Caenorhabditis elegans: one gene and its partners. The protein of the gene in region 1 purifies or fractionates together with the protein of each later gene. This does not show direct contact. Each region holds a gene or a part of one and is shown on either strand. Other genes may lie near its edges.

Evidence for each region.
Region 2: the proteins of swsn-4 (region 1) and emb-5 fractionate together in Caenorhabditis elegans (co-fractionation; one large-scale study listed by BioGRID). This does not show direct contact.
Region 3: the proteins of swsn-4 (region 1) and taf-1 fractionate together in Caenorhabditis elegans (co-fractionation; one large-scale study listed by BioGRID). This does not show direct contact.
Region 4: the proteins of swsn-4 (region 1) and act-2 fractionate together in Caenorhabditis elegans (co-fractionation; one large-scale study listed by BioGRID). This does not show direct contact.

What each region holds. Positions count from the first base shown.
Region 1 is NC_003282.8:11,124,168-11,131,671, reverse strand, and holds swsn-4 (SWI/SNF chromatin remodeling complex core catalytic subunit swsn-4), read right to left. Parts: upstream 5,649-7,504; 5' UTR 5,599-5,648; coding exon 5,143-5,598; intron 5,096-5,142; coding exon 4,871-5,095; intron 4,824-4,870; coding exon 4,597-4,823; intron 4,550-4,596; coding exon 3,757-4,549; intron 3,709-3,756; coding exon 2,059-3,708; intron 2,015-2,058; coding exon 1,508-2,014; intron 1,463-1,507; coding exon 977-1,462; intron 929-976; coding exon 848-928; 3' UTR 510-847; downstream 1-509. Other genes in the region: ard-1 (3-hydroxyacyl-CoA dehydrogenase type-2), read right to left, coding at 114-272, 356-379; Meiotic recombination protein spo-11, read left to right, coding at 6,937-6,984, 7,030-7,199, 7,250-7,484.
Region 2 is NC_003281.10:4,714,789-4,722,320, forward strand, and holds emb-5 (Suppressor of Ty 6 homolog), read right to left. Parts: upstream 5,883-7,532; 5' UTR 5,878-5,882; coding exon 5,747-5,877; intron 5,700-5,746; coding exon 5,447-5,699; intron 5,374-5,446; coding exon 5,032-5,373; intron 4,982-5,031; coding exon 4,395-4,981; intron 4,351-4,394; coding exon 3,831-4,350; intron 3,778-3,830; coding exon 3,424-3,777; intron 3,377-3,423; coding exon 3,077-3,376; intron 3,029-3,076; coding exon 2,135-3,028; intron 2,088-2,134; coding exon 1,914-2,087; intron 1,862-1,913; coding exon 1,042-1,861; intron 990-1,041; coding exon 799-989; 3' UTR 505-798; downstream 1-504. Other genes in the region: him-18 (SAP domain-containing protein), read right to left, coding at 29-149, 201-256, 331-389; acy-1 (adenylate cyclase), read left to right, coding at 7,424-7,532. UniProt on the Caenorhabditis elegans protein: Histone H3-H4 chaperone that plays a role in maintenance of chromatin structure during RNA polymerase II transcription elongation.
Region 3 is NC_003279.8:13,859,551-13,864,502, reverse strand, and holds the start of taf-1 (Transcription initiation factor TFIID subunit 1), read right to left. Parts: upstream 3,030-4,952; 5' UTR 3,028-3,029; coding exon 2,901-3,027; intron 2,836-2,900; coding exon 2,640-2,835; intron 1,246-2,639; coding exon 843-1,245; intron 1-842. Other genes in the region: W04A8.6 (ANK_REP_REGION domain-containing protein), read right to left, coding at 4,952-4,952. UniProt on the Caenorhabditis elegans protein: The TFIID basal transcription factor complex plays a major role in the initiation of RNA polymerase II (Pol II)-dependent transcription.
Region 4 is NC_003283.11:11,076,246-11,079,907, forward strand, and holds act-2 (Actin-2), read right to left. Parts: upstream 1,910-3,662; 5' UTR 1,883-1,909; coding exon 1,693-1,882; intron 1,648-1,692; coding exon 867-1,647; intron 815-866; coding exon 655-814; 3' UTR 532-654; downstream 1-531. UniProt on the Caenorhabditis elegans protein: Actins are highly conserved proteins that are involved in various types of cell motility and are ubiquitously expressed in all eukaryotic cells.

The DNA of each region.
Region 1 (7,504 bases):
TCGTTTCTATTTTACAAAAAAGGGCGTGTCGAGACAGAGATCGCAAAATTGGCGTCTGGGTAATATTTTACTTGAAGTTTCTCTTTACAAATGTAGCATGAAATCATTGTTACCGAAGCTGGTGTAAAGATTCCTCCGATCTCCTTCGCAACATCGGCTCCTTTTGACTGTGGAAGATCAAGAATAGCGACCTGTGCACCAGCCTTTGCCAAAACTTCGGCAGCACCCTTTCCCAGTCCAGACGCTCCGCCAGTGACGAGAGCAACGAGACCCTGAGAAGATAGAACGTAGGGTTTTCAGATAACACTTTCAATTTTGGAGCAAGTATTCAACCTTTTCAAGCTCTTAAACTCACCTTAGTGCTTCTGAGTGCCGACATTTGTTCCCGTTTACCTAAATCATAAGTGTGTTTGATTAAACATTCAAAATCTCGAACTAAGACGGAAAGTATTTAATAAAAGAAATCGCAACGAAATTCGAAAATAATTCTTGATAACAAAAGCATATTTCTCTCGAAATGTTTATAAAATTAAATTTTTCTTTAAAATAGTTGACGAATAGTATGGATTAAAAGTGGAATATGGGTTAAATACAATGCTTAATGCTTTTGTTTCAGGGATTTTTTCCTGCAAACGTGTAGCTTGCGACAGAAAAGAGAAGTAGAGATAAACAGTAAAAAAGCGATGAGAGATAACTGTGAAGCAGGAGAGATAAGAATGGGGGAACGAGGTGGGACATATTTATGGTGACAGCTCAAAAAATCAGAAATCATAGAACATGAAGAATACACAAACAGAGAATAAATGTTTATGGGGACATGAAAATATTTGGAGCAGACTAGTTTTGATCACTCGTCGTCTTCTTCTTCCTCATCCTCGTTCGAGAAGCGGCGAGTTGGACGAGACTTTCGACGGCTTGATGCTGGTTCCTGGAAATTAAATATTAGACTTAAAGACATTAAAAAAGTTCAAGTAACCTTCTTTTGTCCAATGATCTCCTCTTCTTCATCTTCTTCCATTGGGTCTTCACTATCTTCCGATTCCTTCTTCTTTTTCGGTGGTGGTGCACTTGCAGACGATGTTGATGGTTCATCATCTTTCTTAGCTTCCTCGGTCTTTACAGAAGACGAAGTTTCTTTTTTCTCGTCCTTTTTGGGGGTTACTTTAGTTGAAGCTTGTGCACGTTGAGCTAGCATAGCCGACTGCATATATTGAAGCATTAGGGCTTGATTTCCACCGGTCTGTGTCATCAATGCCTGTTGAAACTGCTGAGCCTGTGCGGGTGGAAGTGATTGCATATGTGTCATAAGCATTAACATTTGCTGAGCAGTTGCCTGTTGTGTCCGCTGAAGATCTGACACACTTGGAGTGCCACTGGTTGAGGGACGAGAAGATGAAGTTGATGGGGTTGAAGGTTCTTTCTTCTTGACTGGTTCTTCTACTGGCTTCGGTGGATTCATAAACTGAAAAAGTAATGTAAACTTCGAAATTTCAAAAATCAATCATACCTTATCGTATTGTTCCTTCCACAATTTTCCGATTGTTTCAGAGCTAACATAAATCTCACTGCCTTCTTCGTTGTATGTTTGAGCATTGTTCACAAGCAAATTCATATCATCATTCAATTCTTCCATAACCGTATAACGTCCTGTTTCGATCTTTTTGTTGATTCGATCGAAATCCATTGGTTTGGAAATCACTTGATAATAGTCCGGCAGTTCTTTACGAGTTGGAAGTGTCTGGAATACATCCGCGATGAGTTCTCCATCCTCATTTTTATATTCTAGAATAACATCAAGCATTTCATTGATTTTTTCTGCCAATTCTGGATCCGTCTTCTTCTTCTTGTGTTGTAGAACAACGTCATCCATAGAATCATCATTCTCGTCCAATCCAGCCATTTTACGTTTTCTTTGCTTTTTACGTTCAGCCACAGCTTGATTATTTTCATCCTCAACTTCCTCAACTTGTTTCATGAACTGTTCATCGGACAAAAGATCGGAAGAGTAGTCGACCTGAAAATGAATTAATATTGTAAATTCTCTTATATATTCCTTACCTCTCTTCTGCGTCTTCTCTGATTAGGAGTTTGATCAACAACTTCACGACCTTCCTCTCTGGCTCGTTCCATTTCCTCATAATCGAATGACAATTTGAGAATATCGTCTGGAATTTCATGTTCTTCTAGAAGACGGGGTTTACGGTGAAGTTGATTAGCTTCTTCACGACGACGATCAATATCCATCGATTGGAAGATATTAAATTCTTCCTCTGAGCGAGCAACCATCTGATTCACAGTTTCATCATCTGGAACTTCCTCTTCTTCTTCCTCTTCTCCGTCTGCTTGAATAATTTGTTCGAGCATTTGCTTTCTTTCAGCTCCAGTTGAACGTTGATCGAACTTTCCTGCTTGAATAACTTTCTCGTCGACATTCAACTTGTAGCGAGCAGCGGCAAGAATTTTCTCTTCAACAGAGTTAGCTGTGATGAGACGAAGAACTCGAACTTCTTTCTTTTGTCCGATACGATGTGCACGATCTTGAGCCTGCATATCCTGATGAGGATTCCAATCCGAATCAAAGATAATAACAGTATCAGCAGTTTGCAAATTGAGTCCAAGACCTCCAGCTCTTGTAGAAAGCATGAAAAGGAACAAATCACTGTTAGGAGCATTAAACTGTGTCAGCAGATCTCCACGCTCGTCTGGTTTAGTTGAACCGTCTAAACGGAGGTACGTGTATCTTCGGAAATTCAAAAAGTCTTCGAAAATGTTCATCATAGACGTCATCTGGAAGAACATCAGAATTCGATGACCTGTTGCCTTTAGTTTCGGTAGAATACGATCGAGAAGTTCCAACTTTCCAGCAACACGCATTAGATCGGTTCCATTGACTTCGTTGACCTTCCAGTATGCACGGCAGGAATCTTCAATATTAGGGAAAAGGAACGGGTGATTGCAAAGCTTGCGAAGATGCACGACAGTGTTCATCAACGAACGTGCTCCAGATGACATTTTAGCGTCGAGAAGCAATCCTTTCTGCATATGACGATAAATAACCTTTTGCAAAGCAGACTGGTCACACTTGATGACATACTCGGTCTTGTCAGGAAGCTGTGATTCTACTTCCTTTTTGAGACGTCTCAGCAAGAATGGACGAAGAACCTTGTGCAGTCTTCTGATGATGAGCATCGTCTCTTCTTGATTCAGTTCTACTTTCTCTCCTGTAGTCGCAAATGGAGCATTGAACCATTGTTCGAAAGTTCCACAAGATGAGAAGATCGATGGAAGTAAGAAGTTCAGCAGAGCCCATAGCTCAGGAAGTTTGTTCTGAAGTGGAGTACCAGTAAGAAGTAAACGATGCTGAGCATGGAAGAATCCGTTCAACATCAATGTCAATTTACAATTGTGATTCTTCAAACGATGTCCTTCGTCGATTATCATATACTTCCAACGGATTTTACCAAGCAGTGCTTTCTCTTTGATCACATATTCATATGTTGTCATCAAAACGTTGAACGCTCCTTTTCTGATTTGTCCTTCAACACGACGACGAGCATCTTTAGTTCCTTTATAGATGATAGTGGTTACAGATGGAGCCCATTTAGCAAATTCGTTCTGCCAATTGGACAACGTGGAGAGCGGTACGATGACAAGATATGGTCCATTGTTTTGTTTGACTTCCATCAAATACGTCACCAACGAGATTGTCTGAAAATTAAAAATTGATTAATATTTCCTCATTTCCCAAATTCCTACCTGAATAGTTTTTCCTAGACCCATTTCGTCGGCGAGGATACCGTTCAGATTGTTGTTGTATAAGGAGACCATCCATTCCAATCCCTTAATCTGATACGGTTTCAGCAGAAGATTCGGATCACCACCACCCATCGTTGTGTGTTGCTTGACAACCTTTTCTTTGATTTTGTGAGCAGTTGCATAGTAATCAGCCATTTGCTTTTTCGTTTTCTGATCATATTCATCCTCTTCGTTACGTGCCTTCTCGAGGATCATCTTAGCTTTTGTCTCTTCATCCATTCCAGCGTACTGATCATCCTTCTCTTCTTCTGGTTCCACTGGAGCCTCTTCCTCTTCCTCTTCTTCGTCATCACTAAGCTGATCACGTGGAACTATCTCATATTCTGGATGAGTTTCAAGCCAAAACTCAATTTCTTCAGTCTTTGGAGCTTGATCTCCAGTAAGCGCTTTTCCAGTGCTTCTCTCCCGAACGTGAACCCTGGCTTCCTCATCCATTTGATTTCCTTTTTCAATTTTCTTATCTTCCTTCTTCTTTTTCTTTTCGGTATTTTGATGTTGACGAACAAGTGAGCACAGAGAGTCGACGTACTCATCGGTTTGTTGAAGAAGATACACAAGACGTTGATCTTTCTTCTCATCAAGAAGAGCACGATATCCTTCTTCATCTTCTTGCATCAGTTTTTGCATACGAAGTTTTTCATTTCGAATCTCGTCCTTCTTGCGTTCACGTTCATTGTTTTGATGATATGTCATGACTGCCTTGCGAGACTTTGCCATTTTCAGAAGATTGTTTCTGAAAATAATTTAATTAGTAGGAGAACTTTCTAAATACAATCTCACCTATGATACTCCTTGAATTCCTTTCCATGCTGAATGATAGCTTGCATCAAATCAGTATGCTTCTGCCTTCTCTTTCTTTCTTGCTCCATCTTTTGTTGCTTCTCAAGCTTTTCGGTAACACGAGCTTCGCGTAAAGATTGCCGCTTTGTGCGTCGATACGCATATGGATTGAGTGCAGTTTCGAGAGTTGTGTCTCTTTTGAGACAAGCCATCACTTCACTGCGCACCTAAAAACAGCTTATTGGTTAAAATACTCTTCGAATCCAGAAATTACCTGAGTTTGGAGATTGACAAGACGTAAAGCACGCAATTCGATTTCTGCTTTCAATTTCATGTGATCTGGAATGTCGGCGGGTAAGTTATTGAGTAGCTTCATGCGTAGCCCGATTCTGTTTTGAATCATATTTTCTCTTTGCTTGAGCATGCCAACAGGATCAATTCCTGATGGAACAGAAATTGTTGTTGGACGATTACAGCGTATTTGATGGAGATTGAAAATCTGTAAAAAAGTAGACTGTATAGTTTCATTCGATCCATTTTACCTACCTTCATCAAATCATACGGCAACTTTTCTCCATTCTCTGCCTCTCCTGGATATTCATAAGGTTCAGGCAACAAAGTTGTAACTTTTGGTCGGAGCATGACAGCATCCGCAATCAAGTTGGCCGGTACTTGTTCATTTCGAGCCAAAAGACGATAGGCTGACACTTGAGCCCTCAGTTGATTGAGTTGTGCTGGGGTAATTTGTTGATTCCCGCCATTTTCCTGTCCTGGAACGGCGTCTGGGAGACCAGATTGGAGTTTTTGCTTCAAAAGAACTGCTTTGGCGTGTCGATGGTCATTCTGAAGACCTTGTTCCTCCATTGAAGTTATCGCATTTTCCAGTTTGGAAATTGTCAGCTCTTGGCCTTGAGCTCCATCACCAGCTTGCTGAGCAACAACTTCACCGGCTGGTTGCGGTGGTTGAGCAGTAAACTGCTCAAACGCCGGCCTTCCGCTCATTCTTCAAAATTCCAGCAATTTGATACACTATCTTCTTTCAAATTGATAGTCTGAAACAATTATTAATTCAGAATTTTAGATTCAATTGAACATTCAAGATAAACAAAAAGTATTGCGGTAATAGTATATAAGCGAATTTCAGAAGAAGCCTGCGTGAATAATAAAACCGAGGACAATATATAGACTTTCCATCCATCCTAGTGCAAAAAGAGTAGGACTGATGGAACCGAGAAATAGCGTGCAAGTGAAAGAGAGATGTAGTGTATTGCAGGACACAACTTTCGGCGCGCATTCAAAATTTCTAGCGCATATAAAACACGGAGAACTCTTCGGGGGCCCTTTGTGAGCTAGTGAGATAAGAAAAGCTAAGAAAAAACTAAAAGATTGACGATTTCTAAAGATTGTGAAAAAATCGATAAGTAGTGACGTGTACGAATCGACTTTTCATGAATCCTGAGAGGTTTTTTCGTTTTCCAACGACGTATAAGTGTATACTGATAACTAGTATCGCTTGATATCGTGAAATTCGTCTGAAAACCGAGAAAATCCATGAAAAATGGTCTAAATTGTGTGTTAGACTAAGCAGCTGGGGAAGAAGAAGGTTTGAATGTATGCAGTGGACGCGCCGAGCGTCGATTGGCCAGAGAGGCAAAGTGAGGAGAAACACTATTGGAAATGGAGAGACGCAGACACTCTGCATGTCTGCCTGCATTGGAAACGGGCCATTGCGGCGGAGAGGACAAATGAATGGGAAAAGAGACAAGAAAAGAAGGAATAGTGGAAAATACAAGAAGACTACGGTAGATATAGACCATATCAGAGCTTCATTATGACTATTTGAATAAAGTATTTGAAGGAAATTTAATATAGCAAAAATATTTCAGCGCAACAACATTTAATGCTAGTTTAAGAAAAAAATGAATACTATACATAAATTTTATATTCTATAAAAATCTTCTTCGACTGCGACGAAATGAATGGTGCAGTCATTCGCTTCAAAATTGCATTTAAGCTGTGGTTTTTCGGCAGGGATTGAGAAAAACCGAGTTATATTTAAGAAATGCATTTTAAAATATTTTTTGAAGAAAAATGTCAATTTAAGAATATAGAAAAGAAGATCGAACATTGAGACTCGTCGGCGCCGAGTATTAAAAATCTGACGAAAATTACAGTACTACTCCGATTCGCTGCGGGACCCGTGCTTTATTTTCACGTATGGTCCTTTCGATTATTGACTTTTTGTATCTTGCAGCTGGAGCCTTATTAGCTTGCGTCCAAGTTTTATCAAAGTTTTATTCCATTTTATCTGTATTTTTGTTCTACTAATTAGTTTAAAGCATGTATGAATATTCTTTCAACCCAAATATCGATCATGAGCCCGGATCTGTAAGCTTAATATTGCTGATTCAAATCTAATTTTGCAATTTTCAGGTAGAATCTCAACAATCCACTATTTATTCGGATTCTGATGATTCTGATGACAGTTTTCTTGACGATGAAGTAATACCACCGAAGGAACAAGCTATGAGAAAAATTGAATTCGCTCTTGCAGATATTAAAAGGCAAATGGATAACAAAGAGAAATCGTTGACTTTGAGAATGTAATAAGTTCCTGTTGAAAATGTTTGAGTAATTTTGTTTTTTTTTTCAGATCGACTAGTAAATCACATTTTTGCCTTCGTTATACAGCAAAGAGGAAAGGAAAATTGGATAGAGATTTGCACTGTCTTCACCAAGTTTATGATTTGCTCGAAAATGACAAAAGATCAACGAAAAGAGAATTGTATTATGAACATAAAGCAGTTTATGGAAACCAGAAATATTTAGACAGTTCAATAAAATCAATTTGTGAGCTTTTGAATGAAAGTCGGGCTAATTTAAACATTGTCAGTGTGACATTAATAAA
Region 2 (7,532 bases), on another chromosome or scaffold:
GAGAAGAAACACAAATAATATTTCAAACCTTCTGGAATTCATCCAAAGAGTCATATCTCGTGCACACGTCGCACATTTTACAGGTTTCTTAGCCGGTGCTTCTTCATCATCGTCGCTCAGTGTGATCTCTTCGAAAGGAGAAGGAACATCTCAAAAAGTAAATTAATTGATTTAATTGGGAAATTTGATTTGAAACTTACTTTTGTCAGATTCATTTCTTACAATACTCTGCACACTTCCAAGTTTTTGAGGACGCCTAGAAAAAAAGACAGATATTTTTTAATTTACGTTTAGGTTAAATAGATACGACAGAAACAAAAACCTTACTACCTTGGCGCGGATGAGATCGAGTTTTGGGACAGTGCCTTTTTTAGTGATGAATCATTCATATGAGTAGAATCTAGAATACTTTTTTTTCTTCTAAAACTGAATTTGCAATTCTTATTCCAATATCAATTGTGATCAACGCATTCTACGTTTTTTCGTGATGATTTAGCAGTGATTCTGATTACGAAATTTATTGAGTAAACAACAAAAATGGTACTTGAATACAGAAAGAGCTCATGAACAGTATGACTGCTTGAATAAATATTTTGATAGATATATAAAAATGTTTGAAAAGTAAAAATCGAGGATGAACGGATTACCGAAATCAAAACAAATTATGTGGGATTAAGACAGATGGATGTTGTATTCTATAAATTAAAATTAGATCATCGTTGATAGACTGGAACAAAGGAAACAGGATTGAATGTGTCTGATAAGGTGTGGGTAATAAAGAGAATAAGATCAGGGTTTTCAGTGATAGCCGACGAATTGAGGAGGATAGTATGGAGCTGCTGGAGGAGCACCAACTCGATACTGTGGAGCCGGGATCGCAGATCGCCTTAACTCGATGGGAGGCTCGTGGAAATGGCGTTTGAACCAAGCCATCATTCGATCTAGCGTATCAAAGTTTTGATGTCGGAATCGGACTCCATGTGGGACAACTGTAAACAAAAATAGTTGAAAACTTTGTTCGTATCTCTTTTCGAAACTCACTTTTGAAATATTCATGTCGAATCCGTTCTGTATTATCGAACATATAAGAAATACAGAATTGGCATGGCTGTCTGTAGGATGCACTGAATACGTACGGAGATCGTCCCAGCTCTCGTTTCTTCTCTCGTACAAATTGCTCGACTGCTTCTGTTTCTTCGCATGTTCCATTTGGGAAGAAGTACTTGTGAGTTGTTATCTCGTGAGAGATCTGTATCATCGGTTGAACGAATCGAGCAATCAACTCATCAAGATCCTCGAAATCTTCTCCGCCGACTGAGAGTTGCCGACCAATGGAGAAAACTTGATCCTTTGCGGATTCTTTGACAAAGAAATTGTGATAGACGCGGTCACAAATCTTCCATGTCACAGAAAGACCAGAATCTTTATTAGCCGATGGACGAATAATACACTCAGACCAATCCATTTCATCCAACATTTTCGTAGCAGCTTCGTAGGATACATTATGGAAATTTGGATGCGCAATTACTCGCTTCACACGTGTATTTGCTTCTGTCTTCTTTTTCGATTCACTCTTCATCAGTTCCAAATCAGCTTGGTATTGATGCTCATCCCAGTACTGATCACGTTGAGATAAATCATCTTCTTTCAGATCCGAACTCTTACAACTTAGGAATAGTGAGAATCTCTCCTTGTCCAACTTGAGAACTTTGAAGTAATATGGCTGATTTATCTTGACTCGGGTTAATGGATTGTCTACGTGACTTGATGAGATGTTCTTGTTCGGACAGAATCCAGTCATTCCATTGTCAAATCTGACTCGAATTCCGACTGGTGTTCCAGGACATCCACCTTGACGAGACTGAAATAATTTAACATTGGTTAACGAATAGTATTAGTTGAGAAAAACTTACGTCACCGAGCATATGTTCTTGAATTCCACCAGGAGCCGAAGATGTGAACGATTTACAACATGGACAAGTGAAAAGACCATCTTCTCCAACATCAGGTAACATGCTGTCTGCTGCATCTTTGTCAACTTTACGGTACTGCACAGATTGAACTGTTCCCAACACTTTAGCTCCTTCCTGCAAAAATAAAAATAAAATCGACAGAATTATTACAAGTAACATACTCTAATTTCTTTTCCTGAACGAGCCAAAAGATCATACAAAAGCTCTCCGGTAGGTTCTTGGAATGGTTGCCGAAGATCTTTATATCTCGCACTCAACTCGCTTGAGATGTCATACAACGTCGACTTTTTCTCTCCGAATCCTTGTCGACTCAATTCATCGGCAAACGCGTCCAAATCGAGATCTCTCAAACGATCAGGAGATTCCATGATTTCTTGAAGAGCCGCAGTTGGATCAGCAGAATCATCAACCTCCAACGCATCCACAGCCATCTTTCTAGCCCATTCATAGGTCTCTGGATGTACTCTCGAACCGTCAAGAACTTCAACATAAGCGTCAGTCTTCTCCGATACCTTGATAGTGTCAATTTTGATGAATCCAGCACAGTTCATAAATACTTTTGGTCCCAGTTTGCATCCAACCACAAGTTTCGATCTACTCTCTATCAAATTATCGTTAGCTTTTATGCTTTTCAGAAGATCAGTGGCTTTTCGTGGACCCAATCCGCATGTGAACTGGAGCATGTTAGTGTAGTGAGGGAATTCTGCACATTTATTGATATCAACACCTTCTTCGTTGACCTTGTTCACCAATTCATGACTGAGAACCAAAGCCAATTGCTCTTGATCGATATCCCGTTGAAGCGGATGCAGAGAGAGACAGAAAATATCTTCATCAATATTCCACAAATGAGCATACTCTGGGATGGGATCCAAAAGAAGACGAGCTAGGGATAAAGCTTGTCGGAGCGTCGGTGGATGATCTGGATTCTCCGCCAACGAAACATTCGATCTCATGTAGACTTTTGCGGCTTCGTTGTCCATCAAAAATACTGGAATTGGTTTGTAGATCAAGTTCTGCGAGAAAAGATCTGCCACAGCTTCCTCGAGGTCTCTCTGAAAATTGCAGTTTTTAAGTATCAAATGTTCAAAACTAGTGCAAACCTTCAATCGAGTACACTCCATATCCTCAATATTCAATCCAATAGCATGAGGTTTTCGTCTCTGTACAAACTTCTTAAACAAATCCATTGACTCGGCCTTCCTTAGTCCATTGTTTCCACCGCCAAACGTTCGTTTCGTGAAATGAACCATTCGAAGATAATCAACAATTGCACCATTTTCATCAACCATTACACCAAATGAAGCTTCGTCTCGCTCTGTTGGATAGCACACTGCCATGATTCGACGAGCTCCATGTTGATCCATACCATCATCATCGTCATCGTTATTATCGAAATCCGGCTGAAATAAAACAAAACAATTACATAGTTATTAAATCAAATTAATACCAGATATCCTGATCTAGAAATTCGAGATGCAAACTCCTTTCTACATTTCTTTGCTACTGCAGTCTTTGCTTCTTCAAGAATCGTATTATACAACTCATCCCTCATGTAGGGTACAAGCATTTCAGTTATAGCCATATTCACACACTCATCTCTCACTGAATTCCATTGTTCAACATTTTCCGTGTATTCGTCTTTTTGGAAAATGGAATCACTTAGATACTTGTTAACGAGGTAGTTATTTGAATCCTGATCTTCTTCAGATTCATACATGATGAGCACATCAACAAGACCATCCTCTTTGGCTTTGTGATAGAAGAGGAACTCTTCAGCGGTGAGACTTCGAACTGGTTTACTCTAAAAATATATATTTATTAAAATCCTAGACATTTATTTCAAATAATTCTCACCTTGATATACCGTTTGTCATAGAGGGGATGAGTTTGATCAATTGTATCACGTCCTTTCTTCGTTGGCTTGATCCAAAAATGTGCAGACTGGCGGAATTCTTGCCGAACACTATGCCTGACTTGTGGTTGTCGACTGATCTCCTTGGCAAGCATGAATTTCGCACCATTCAGAACCATATCACTGTCACTGAACGCAGGACAAACATACTCTTCTGCTGCTTCCAATGGTAACATCGGATCTTGCTCAATGTCGTGTTTTTTCCAGTTCAAATTTTCAGAAAACTGTTTTGCAGTCAATCCAAACCGTCCAGCAAGCTCTCCGATTCCGTTTTCCACACACATTTGATACTTATCATTACGAATGCTTGACTTGAACTTGACTCGATACTCTTGTTCCTCTTCTTCACCGGTTAAACGTCCTTTTTCCCATCTAATCATATCGTCGAGAAGAGCACCGTACAACAATTGGAAATTTGCATGTATGTCGGTAAGCTGTTCAAGAGTTTCTGCGTATTTTGTGCTGAAAAATAATTTAAATTCTAAATTTTAAATTTTAAAACTTACTCCATCAAATCTGCATCCGAAATCGGTCGTCTTTTTGCGGTCAAATCGTCACTGAGTTCCTGATACTCTCTCATCCGACGCATTAAATCGTAAATTTTATTTTTCTTCTCTGACAAATGACACCATTTTTCGTCAAAATCGTATACTCTCCATAGATTATTCATTGTCAGAAGATTGTCAATATCTTCTTTACGATAAAATCCAATAAACGTAGGTTCGAACGAATTAGAACGAACTCGAATGAATTGGAGAACTTTCTTGATGGATTTTATAACAGCTTTCTTTCTATCTTCATAGACAGAAGGATCCAGATTCATTATACAATCAAGTTTATCGTCTTGATCCAGGTCAGCTTGATTTGTCACTGTCCCTTCTTCGAAGGCATATTTAATAATCCATAGAGCTTCAGATTCCAGTTCATCATCATCCGCTTCTGTAACTGGTGTTCTTCTGAGTTGGAACCTCTCTGGTAAATCTTCTTTCGCGATTTTCTTATCCCCAGGTAACAAGAATCCACGATCAATTTCACTTGGTTCGATGGATTCGAGAAGTGTTGACTTCTTTGTAGTATCCTTCTTTCTGCGTATCTGAACCATTCCTATTTCAATAATGCAAAGCTTTTCTCAAAAATTCCAACCTTTATCTCTCCTCCTTCACCATCATCTTCTATTATTTCCTCCTCTTCGTCTTCTAGACCATCCTCGCCATCATCATCGTCGTAAAACTCGTCCAAATTGAAGTCTTCCACTCCGAATACATCACGGGCGTCATCTTCAGCGCCTTCTGGGAGATTTTCGTCTCCACGATGACGTTTCCGATGTCTTCGTGGCGCATCTCCATCGTCCTCAATAAAGTCATCCTCACTTCTTTCAGACTCTGATCCGTAACCACCGCGATCTCCACGACCACGATCTTTTCGCCTGTCTCCATCGTCACTTCCTCGTTCGGAAAGCAAATCATCATCTTCGTGGTTGGGTCTCTGAAATTCCGAATTTGATTATTATTATTATTATGAATTTTAGTGGCAATTGAAAAAAATCGAAATTACTCACTCGTATCGGCTCATCTTCATCACTGGAATCACCCAATTGAACTCGATTTTGTTTTTTCGTCTCTCGAATATCATAATTCTCATTGATCAAATCAAGATCTTCATCGTCGAGCTCATCTTCTCCCGAGTGCCGAGATTTTTCTGACTTCTCCGATTTTGCGTCCTCTTCTTCATCGTCATCATCTGCAATGAATCCCTGCATTTCTTTACGGTTTTCCTCTTCATCGTCATCGTCGTCTTCATCTTCGTCAGAACTAAAAATGAACAAATGAAAATAGAAATACCCCGGAATTATAATTACCTGGCAACCATTTTCTTCTTTCTTTTTGATTTTTCCTTTGCCATTTTCATCTTTTTCGACTGTGGTTCTTCATCATCAGAATGGCCCGAGGAGGCATCTGATTCTTCGGCTTGATTATCGATAAAATCCATTACCTGCAACAAATTCAGTTAATTTCACTTGGGAAGAACGAAATTTCATAATACAAAAATTTCGAAAAGCACAAAGAGCAAAATTAAGAAAATTGCAAACAGCTCACAGTGCGGAAAAGGTTTAAAAGTGAAAGAAAACTGAAAAATCTTATTTTGTGCAAAAAAAATTAGCCAGATAGGTGAAAAATGACGGATTTTACGCGGTTTTTAGGCCAAACGAGCGAAAATTAATCAATAAAGAAAACGGAGAAAGAAGGAAACCGGCCATTCGGGTCGAGGACAAAAATAAAAATGAGACGATTTTCTGAATTTGAACGCGAAGCGATTTATGCAACTGCGCCCCATTGTGATGCTAGGCGAGAGAGTGTGGGATTGCAAGAGGCGGGTAGAGATAGAAAAACGCGGTCGTTTAAAAAATATCGCTTTCCCGAGTTTCGCGTATTTTAGGAATTATATGTTTCATTTTAAAGCGATATTGCGAAAAGTGATTTCGATTCATCTTTATTGCGTGATAGGTAAACAAATTGGTTCATTTAGCAAGCATCCAAGACGACGAAATACGATAACCGGGGTATTCAGAATTGTTGCGAAAAATGTAATAGCTATATAGCTATGTGAAATTATTTAGGCATAAAAGATTAATTTTCATTCAACTACCATGTTCAATTTTGAAGGTTTATTCTTCACAGACTCATTCTTTCATCAACAAAAATCTTACCACGAAGAAAAACTTTATCAAATACCGTACCAGCGAGTATGATAGAAGCTTTTTAAAAGTTTTTTTTCCTTATTTCCCGATTTCAAATATATACGTAGATTTTTTCGAGGAAAAATCAATTCATAAGTTCTGTAATTTCAGGAGAAATTTGGCGAGAAAGATTGAGGTACTACAGTACTCCCGAGTACGGTAGTTGAAAAAGTTTCGCTTGAATCAGTGTTTCAATTCTAGATATACGCCCTACCAGATGCCTAGGGGGTAAGTGCCTACAGTGAAGGTTCACTTAAACTGCATTACTTTGATAACCTGAACCTGCTGATCATCATATCCGAAAAACCCCCAAGATATTCACTTGCTGACCATTTTTCATTAGTTGAAGTCCTAATTTCCATCGCTAATTATTCATTCATTTGCTGTTTCCGACATACTTATCAAATCCCATGGGATCCCCCGAATCCATGAGCACAATAATCGAAAGATTGAGGCTCAATGTCTATTCTCCATCCTCTCTCTCTCTCTTCCACACTCTTGGACCCGCCCCACCCTGGGGCCAGTCGAGCGCGCAGCTTTTCGTTTCAAACTCTGCGCCTCTCTCATTCCAAAGCTCTCTGCGCACTTTCTTTTACTCTCTTTTTCTCTGAAAAGGCTTTCAAAAGTAAGTGAGAGATTGGAAGAGAGTGAACGAGAGAAAAAGAGTAAGCAGTTGGGGGGAGTAGGAGGCGAAGGAGGGGGAACAACTACTACTCGCTCTCCTCTACTTGCCTCATCTTCTTCCTTTTCATTTTTCAACGTCTTCTATTCTGAAGATTCTTCTTGTCTTCTGGATTCATGGACGACGATGTCGGTGAACGAACACCGGCTCTCGGTGGTTCATGTGGACCATCAGTTCGTGCACACAGTAGTTCCCCAAGACGTGTTCCATTATTTGAGAGAGCAT
Region 3 (4,952 bases), on another chromosome or scaffold:
TGAGATGAAATTGTCTAAGATGACCGAAAATTGTCTGAAAACTCATGAAATGCTGTTTAAGCCGTGAAAATAACCGGAAAATTGTCGGAATTGAGCTGGAAATTATATTTTTCAGGAATTTTTAGTTAAAAATTATCAAAAATTGACTGAAAATCACGTTTTTCAACTAAAAATATATTGTTGAGTGAGGCTCACACTACAAACTACAACATTTTCTAGCCTCAACCAATTTTGGTTGAGGCTCACACTACAAACTACAACTTTTTTAGCCTCAACCAATTTAAGGTGAGGCTCACACTACAAACTACAACATTTTCTAGCCTCAACCAATTTTGGGTGAGGCTCACACTACAAACTACAACATTTTCTAGCCTCAACCAATTTAAAGTTCTCAATTTTGGTTGAGGCTCACACTACAAACTACAACTTTTTAGCCTCAACCAATTTAAAATTCTCAATTTTGGTTGAGGCTCATACTACAAACTACAACTTTTTAGCCTCAACCAATTTAAAATTCTCAATTTTGGTTGAGGCTCATACTACAAACTACGAAATTTTCTAGCTTCAACCAAATTTTTTTGAGCAAACTGTGTCAAATTTGCGCTTTTTTGGTAATTTTTTCAGATTTTTAGTGCGATTTTTAGGGTTTTTTTTATTGAAAACTTCAATTTTTGGCGAATTTCAGCCATTTTTCAGCCATTTTCAGTGTATTTTTTACCAGGAAACTTTAATTTTGATCATTTTTAGCCAATTTCAGCCATTTTTAAGTCAGTTTTTCAAAGGAAATTCCATTTTTTTGAGCAATTTTCAGCCGATTTTCTGCAAATTTTCATTATTTTTACCTTCAGTTTGAATCCATAATTAACAGCTTGACTAGTCATCGGCAAATTCATCATATCATACCAAATCTTGGCGGGACCCGTTCTCCACGGCTGAACTACCGTACCCTCTTCATTTTTCTTTGCCATTTCCTCTGCATCCGTCAGTATCGGTCTCCGCATTCGTTCTTCTTCATCGTCAGCCAACATGACACGTGGCACCTTCTCAATGATGTTAAGCTTCAGCTTTTTGGCTCCAACGATGACGTCATCAGCGAGGGGCTCTTCGGGCTCTTTTTTGCGTTGATGTTTGGAGAAGGTTCGGGAAGCCCACCAGATCTCGGCACGGGACGTATGTTTGATATTTTGAGCAAAAAGTCGAGAGAAACGAAGAGTTTTGTTTGGATTGAAGTCTTTGAAGAAGATTCTGAAAATAAAATTAAAGGATTTTGCGGAAAAATGGGGGTTTTCAGTGATTTGCGTGAATTTTTGGCGAATTTTCGGAATTTTTTTGGAAATTTTAACAGAGAATTATGGAATTCTAGAAGAAATTAGCAGTTTTTAGCAATTTTACATCAAAATTTCGAGTTTTTCGGCGAGAAAAACCAGTTTTCAGGGGAAAAATGACGGGTTTCAACCATTTTTTTTGGAATTTTTGCAGAAATTGGCCAATTTTCAGGCTTTTTTTGGCTTTTTTGGCTCGAAAAAAAGGTTTAACAATTTTAAAGCAAATTTTCGAGTTTTACATGAGATTTCTGATGGCTAGGAAAACCATGGGTTTGTGTGGAAAAATTGTGGGTTTTTTCGGGGAAAAGTGACACGGGTTTCAACGATTTTTGAGTGAATTTTTGAGTTTTTTAAAGGAATTTTTGCAGAAATTGCCAATTTTCGGGTTTTTTGACTTAAAAATTGTGTATTTGTGTGTTTTTATGAAACTTCATTGGAAAACTGACTTTTGGAGCAAAATTCGAATTTCAATTTTCAATTTTCGAATAAAACAAAACCCAACATTTCAGTGAAAATTCGATTTTTCCAACAAAAATCGTCACTTTTATTCGATTTTTGCGCGAAATTCGAATTTCGGCAAATGTTTGCCAATTTTTTGAAATAATGGCGCTTTTCATGCTTAAAAAAAGTGAAAATTTGTTTTTTCCAACGAAATTAGAATTTCTATCAATTTTTCGAGAAAAAAAAATGAAAATTTTACTGAATATTCGATTTATTCAACAAAAATTGAAAAAAAAATCGTCACTTTTACTCGATTTTTTTTCGAAAAATTTTGAAAAAAAAATCCCATTTTACGATTTTTTGTCGAAATTTTTGATTTTTCCAGCAAAAACTCTTTCCAAATCGACTTTTGGCGGGAAATTCAAAAAATTTCAGTTTTCAATTTCAAGGGCAAGCAAATTTTGCGGAATTTTAAAAGAAAATTATGGAATTTTGGAAGAAACAGCACGTTTTGAGCATTTTTGGAATACTTTATTCAAAAAATGTCATTTTCGAGCAATTTTCAGAGTTTTTAAAATAGATTTTCCGAAGAAAATTCGAATTTTCGGGTGATTTTATAAAAAAGTTTGTAAAAATGGAAAAAAAAATAAAGTTTTTAGAGAAAAATGAAATTTTTTTTAATGTTATTAAATTAAAATTTGTCAATTTTTATACCACACACATCTCATACTACACATTACAGGATTCGGCAGGAAATGAAATTTTTTGTCAAATTTCCCAATTTTCAGTGATTTTTGATAGAATTTTTGAGTTTTTCGTGGAAATTTCCGGTAAAAAACGTCAATTTCAACAGAAATTTGTGGTTTTCAGTACCTCGGATCAATTCCATCAAGATCCGGATGTAAAATAGATGAAAGTGGTGCATCATCTCGAAGTGATGGTCTTGCAAATGGTTCCATATCTTCTAATCGTACAGGATCACCAATATATTCTTCAAATTCTTCATTTTTTTCCACTTTTGGCTCCATTTTCACACTTTTAGAGCCGCCATTAGAAGCTGACGAACATGCTGAAAAAATGAAAAAAATGAAAAATTAGTGAAATTCCAAAGTTTTTTTTTTCGATTTTCGCTACCTTCATTCCGTGCTGCCGGATGATTTTTGTAGAAATCCGAGAGATTAGCGTAAGGATCCTCTAGATCTTCTTCATTTTTTGGCTTTTCCGTTCGATACCCATTTGTGTGATGATGTGTATTGTTCATTACTGGAAAAAATTACAATAAAAAATTTTGAAAAATATTTTAAAAACCTGGAGATTCACGAATTTTTCAAGAAATTTTCACGAAAAAATTGAATATTTTCTGAATTTTCTGCTCAAAGTTGCTCGATTTTGAGTTTTAGAGATTTTGAATTTTGAAAATTCATGAGTTCTGTCTATTGATATTCTTTAGAAAATTTTCAGAGAAAAAAAAGAAAACGGAAATTTTGAAAAATTCGAAAAAAAAACCATTAATTTAGTCTCAAAATTGAATTTTTATTTAATTTGAATTTGAAAATCGATAAAATTTCCATTTTTCCGAATAAACAATGAATCAAAATTGTGCAAATTAAGAAGAAAACACCAAAAAATGCACAGACTACAAACTACAACATTTTCTAGCCTCAACCAACTTTTGGTGAGACTAAAAACTTGTAGAAAATTGGAAAAAATTACGATAATAACTTTAAAAATAATTCTAAAAACCTGATGATTCACGAATTTTTAAATTTTTTCACGGAAAAAATGGATTTTCTGCTCAAAATTGCTCGATTTTGAGTGAAAAATGGATTTGGTTGAGGCTCACACTACAAAAACTACAACTTTTTCAGCCTCACCAAAGGTTGGGCGAGGCTAGAAAATGTTGTAGTTTTTGTAGTGTGAGCCTCAACCAACTCCGGAAAAACTAATTTTTTGGGGAAAGTTCTCAGTTTTTTGAATGAAACTCGAATTTTAATTATTATTTCTTCAAATTTGATTGATTTTCGCATAAAAATTAGACTTTTCAAGAAAAAAAATGAAATTTACAATCATTTCGCTGAAAAATTTAATTTTTCACCGGGAAAATTCATTTTTCGACTAAAAATGTTATGAAAATCTAATTTTTTCAAAGTTTTTCGGCAAAAAGTTGAGTTTTTTCTGACTTTTCGGCTTAAAATTGCTCGAAAAATGCATTTGGTTGAGGCCGACACTACAAACTACAACTTTTTAAGCCTCACCAAAAGTTGAGTGAGGCTAGAAAATTGTGTAGTTTGTAGTGTGAGCAACCAAGTGCGGAAAAAATCTTTTTTTTGTGGAAAATTCAGAATTTTTGGAATTGAAACTCGAATTTTAATTATGATTTTGTGGAATTTATTGGATTTTGGCATTAAAAAATGAAATTTTTGAAGAAAAATTCATGAAATTTGCAATTTTTAGCAGAATTTCTGACTGAAAATTCAAAATTTCGCTTGAAAATTCAATTTTTCGACTGAAAATTGAATTTAGCGACTAAAAATGTGATGAAAATAAGTTTTTTCCAAATTTTTACAGCAAAATTAGAGTTTTTGAATAAAAATTGTTTTTTTCTAAATTTTTCTTCGAATTTTCACTTTTTATTCGGTTTTTACCGATTTTTAAAACAAAATTTCTGTTAAACGTTGGTTTATGTGAAAAAACGTTTAAAAATTGAATTTTCAGCTAAAAAATAGAAAAACTATTAAAAAAAAAAATATTCAAGTGCAAAATTACACTTTTTCGAGGATTTCCCCCCGAAAAAACCGGAAAAGAATAGCGAAAATAGGAAAGTGAGAAATTCATTTCAAATTATGGGAAAAAAATGACAAAATTATGGAAAATGATTCAATTTTTTCAACAAAAAAAAAGATTCAATTAAATTGATTGATTATCTGAGAAAATTCGAGAGAAAAAACAATGAAAAATGGGCAAAAATACAAGCGAAAAATGGGAATTTTACCCGAAAATTGACACGAAAATGGGGGGGGGGGGGGGGGGGGGGGGGGGGGAAATGGGGATTTATTAGGGTTAAACATGGTAAAAATTGACTAAAAATTCAATTTTTGGGGGAAAAATTCAGATTTCTATGAATTTTTACCCAAAAAACTCGATTTTTTTCACAGAAAATTAGAATTTTCCACTGAAAATCAGCTC
Region 4 (3,662 bases), on another chromosome or scaffold:
TTAAAGACGCACGGATTTATTATGAATAATAAAAATTGTTTAAAAACATTTTCAAAGTATACATTTTTTAAAGTACCACGAACTTTTTGCGCAGTAAGACCCATCGGAACAAGTCTGTGCACCTTTAAGAAACCATGTCAAAATCCAGTGAAATGACGATAAATACACAAAATATTAGGTTCTCAATTCTAACTGGTGGAGGCGCAGAAAGAAAAAAACCTGACAATGTGAGATAGATCTTATAGAGAAACAGTTAGATAAAGAAAATTTCGGCCCGAAAGAGCAACTGGCGAAGAGGGAGAGACGAGATTATCGTAACGCGGGAAATTTCAATCAACAGGAACAGTGAACGCAATCGACACCGAACTGATAAGAAGTTGACTCCAGAAATGCTTATCAACAACCGCGATCTGGACTTGGAGGTCACGTTAAACGATGAAGTTTACCAATGATGACATTGGACCACTAAACTAAAAGTATATATACGATTTCACGTTTAGAAATATTATTAAAATAAACCGACAAATTTTAAAACGATGCTTACACGAAGCAGATTTATAATTTAAAATCGGGGTGTGAAAATCCGTAAGGCAGATGACGTTATCTGGACATTTCCAAAAGTTCAGGTGAATATTACATAAATTGTTAAAACGTTTAGAAGCATTTGCGATGAACAATTGATGGTCCAGACTCGTCGTATTCTTGCTTGGAGATCCACATCTGTTGGAAGGTGGAGAGGGAGGCGAGGATAGATCCTCCGATCCAGACGGAGTACTTGCGCTCTGGTGGGGCGATGATCTTGATCTTCATGGTTCTGAAAAAAAATCAAATTAATTTGTTAACTAAAACAAAAATAGAAAACTTACGATGGGGCAAGAGCGGTGATTTCCTTCTGCATACGATCAGCAATTCCTGGGTACATGGTGGTTCCTCCGGAAAGAACAGTGTTGGCGTACAAGTCCTTACGGATATCAATGTCGCACTTCATGATGGAGTTGTAAGAAGTCTCGTGGATTCCTGCAGATTCCATACCCAAGAAGGATGGTTGGAACAGAGCCTCTGGGCAACGGAAGCGTTCGTTTCCAACAGTGATGACTTGTCCGTCAGGAAGTTCGTAGGACTTCTCGAGGGAAGAGGAAGAAGCGGCGGTGGCCATTTCTTGCTCGAAATCGAGGGCGACGTAACAAAGCTTCTCCTTGATGTCACGGACGATTTCACGCTCAGCGGTGGTGGTGAAAGAGTAACCACGCTCGGTAAGGATCTTCATGAGGTAATCAGTAAGATCACGTCCAGCCAAGTCAAGACGGAGGATGGCGTGTGGGAGGGCATATCCTTCGTAGATTGGGACTGTGTGGGTAACACCATCTCCAGAGTCGAGGACGATTCCGGTGGTACGTCCGGAAGCGTAGAGGGAGAGGACAGCTTGGATGGCGACATACATGGCTGGGGTATTGAAGGTCTCGAACATGATTTGGGTCATCTTTTCACGGTTAGCCTTTGGATTGAGTGGGGCTTCAGTGAGAAGTACTGGGTGCTCTTCTGGGGCAACGCGAAGCTCGTTGTAGAAAGTGTGATGCCAGATTTTTTCCATGTCGTCCCAGTTGGTAACGATACCATGCTCAATTGGGTACTTAAGGGTAAGGATACCTAAAAACAACTATTTCCAATCGGTCAAATTTTTTGAAAATTTACCTCTCTTGGATTGGGCCTCGTCTCCGACGTACGAGTCTTTCTGTCCCATACCGACCATGACTCCTTGATGACGAGGTCTTCCGACAATGGATGGGAACACGGCGCGTGGAGCGTCGTCTCCAGCGAATCCAGCTTTGCACATTCCGGATCCATTGTCAACTACGAGAGCGGCAACATCGTCGTCACACATGATTTATTAGATTAGGAGGAACTTAGCCTACAAAATAATTATGAATTATGAATCATAATTTTGCCGAACAAGATATTACGGTGATAAGATAGAGATTTCAAAATTGATGATCAAAAGCTTTCCAATTAAACCAGCTATAGTATCAAAACAAAACCAATTGGTTCTTAAACACAAATTGTATGCAAGTGCAGCGAGAAAAGAGAAATCAGCATTCGGCCTAAAAATTTGCATATTCCTATTGAAAAAAGAAGGGAAACAGAGAGAAAAGAGTGGTGAGACCGTTATCAATATATTTGAACAACGCGACGAACGTGTTTGATAAGAGGGAAGTCGGTAAAAGATAAAAATTCGATACGAAACTGACAAAAAAGTCGTCGCATGCCCAATTCAACAGCAGAAAACTCTCGAACAGAGGCGTGGCTTCGCGCGCTAATTCAAATGGGTTCCGCGCGGGAAGGCCGATAGAGCACACTTGCTGACCGTCATGTTGAGTCATCTTTTCCTTTTTTGGGAACACGTTTCAATTCTTTTTCATTGATTTTCGTGATTTTTTAATCATTCCTCAATTTTTCTTCGTGATTCATTGAAGTATTCGCCGAATCAGGTATTGTTTTTATATAAAGGGTGGATTAATTCGAAAACAATAATAATTTTTGCTTGAGAAAGAGTAGGACTATATTATTTCGAATATACTAAAATTAATAATATTTCTGTTGAAACGTTTGTTGGATCTGGTATCTCATCTCCGTTTTCGGATAACTACGGGCGGGTCAAACAGAAAGTGGCGAGAAGGTATCGGTGAACGGCGTTAATCTCGTCAAAATTAATATAGAGATCGCTAGGAATGTGGAAAATGCCATTCCTTCTTTGGAGATATAGAAAATAAAAGGGCGGCGCATTTCAACATGCGCTTGGTTCTCAGAAATTGCATGAGTCATCGCAAATATTTCGAAATTCCTTCATATGCGCAACGAAAAATTGTGAACATTTCACAATTTTCTAATTTTTAAATCTTCAAAATTCTAACATTAATTTCTAGGGCTTTCCAAGGATATATTCTTGAGAAGAAAATAGCTTCGAAAAGGATAGACAAAACCGGTCAATGTATGTTTCAATGAATGGTTTGACTTAAGCTCTTCTAACCAGCAATTGCTGTGCGGGCAGCGCAATACCAGAACCAACCCAATATGCGCTAATCGTTATACACGCCTCATTTTCTTTCTGTCACGAGGAAATCGTTAAAAAAGCAAACCTTCAGAAAAGTCGAAAGGCTTATGGTTTCTTCAAGTGAAAAGGTATCTAGACTACGATTCCTCCAGTATTTATATGTGTCATCTAATTTCCCTTGCACCTTCCCACGCAAAAATTCTTCACTAGCGTTCCAATTACTGATTGGGTCCGCAGACTTTTTTGCCATTTTCGATCCCCTATGCTGTGATGTTTGTAAACTCTTCGAAAGTATTTCTATCTCATCGAATATACCAAGAAAATCCTGCATGAGTTTCTTGCCTGCCCCCCCCCCCCCCCCACTGGTTTTTTTTCTGCTCCTCAATATCAGTTGGTACTCTCCCGATGATTTCTGAACATCTTTCCGCCCTCACAAGTGCTTGCACACATAGACCAATATCAATGAAGATTAAAAAAAAATAAATTAATTTCAAAATGTGGAAAGAAAATATTAAATAGCCTTAAAAGATGTATAGCATATGTCTGCTCAGTGTATGTTCCATCACACATGTTCGCATTAGTGCACAACGGGGTGATTTACAAGCTCTGCCTT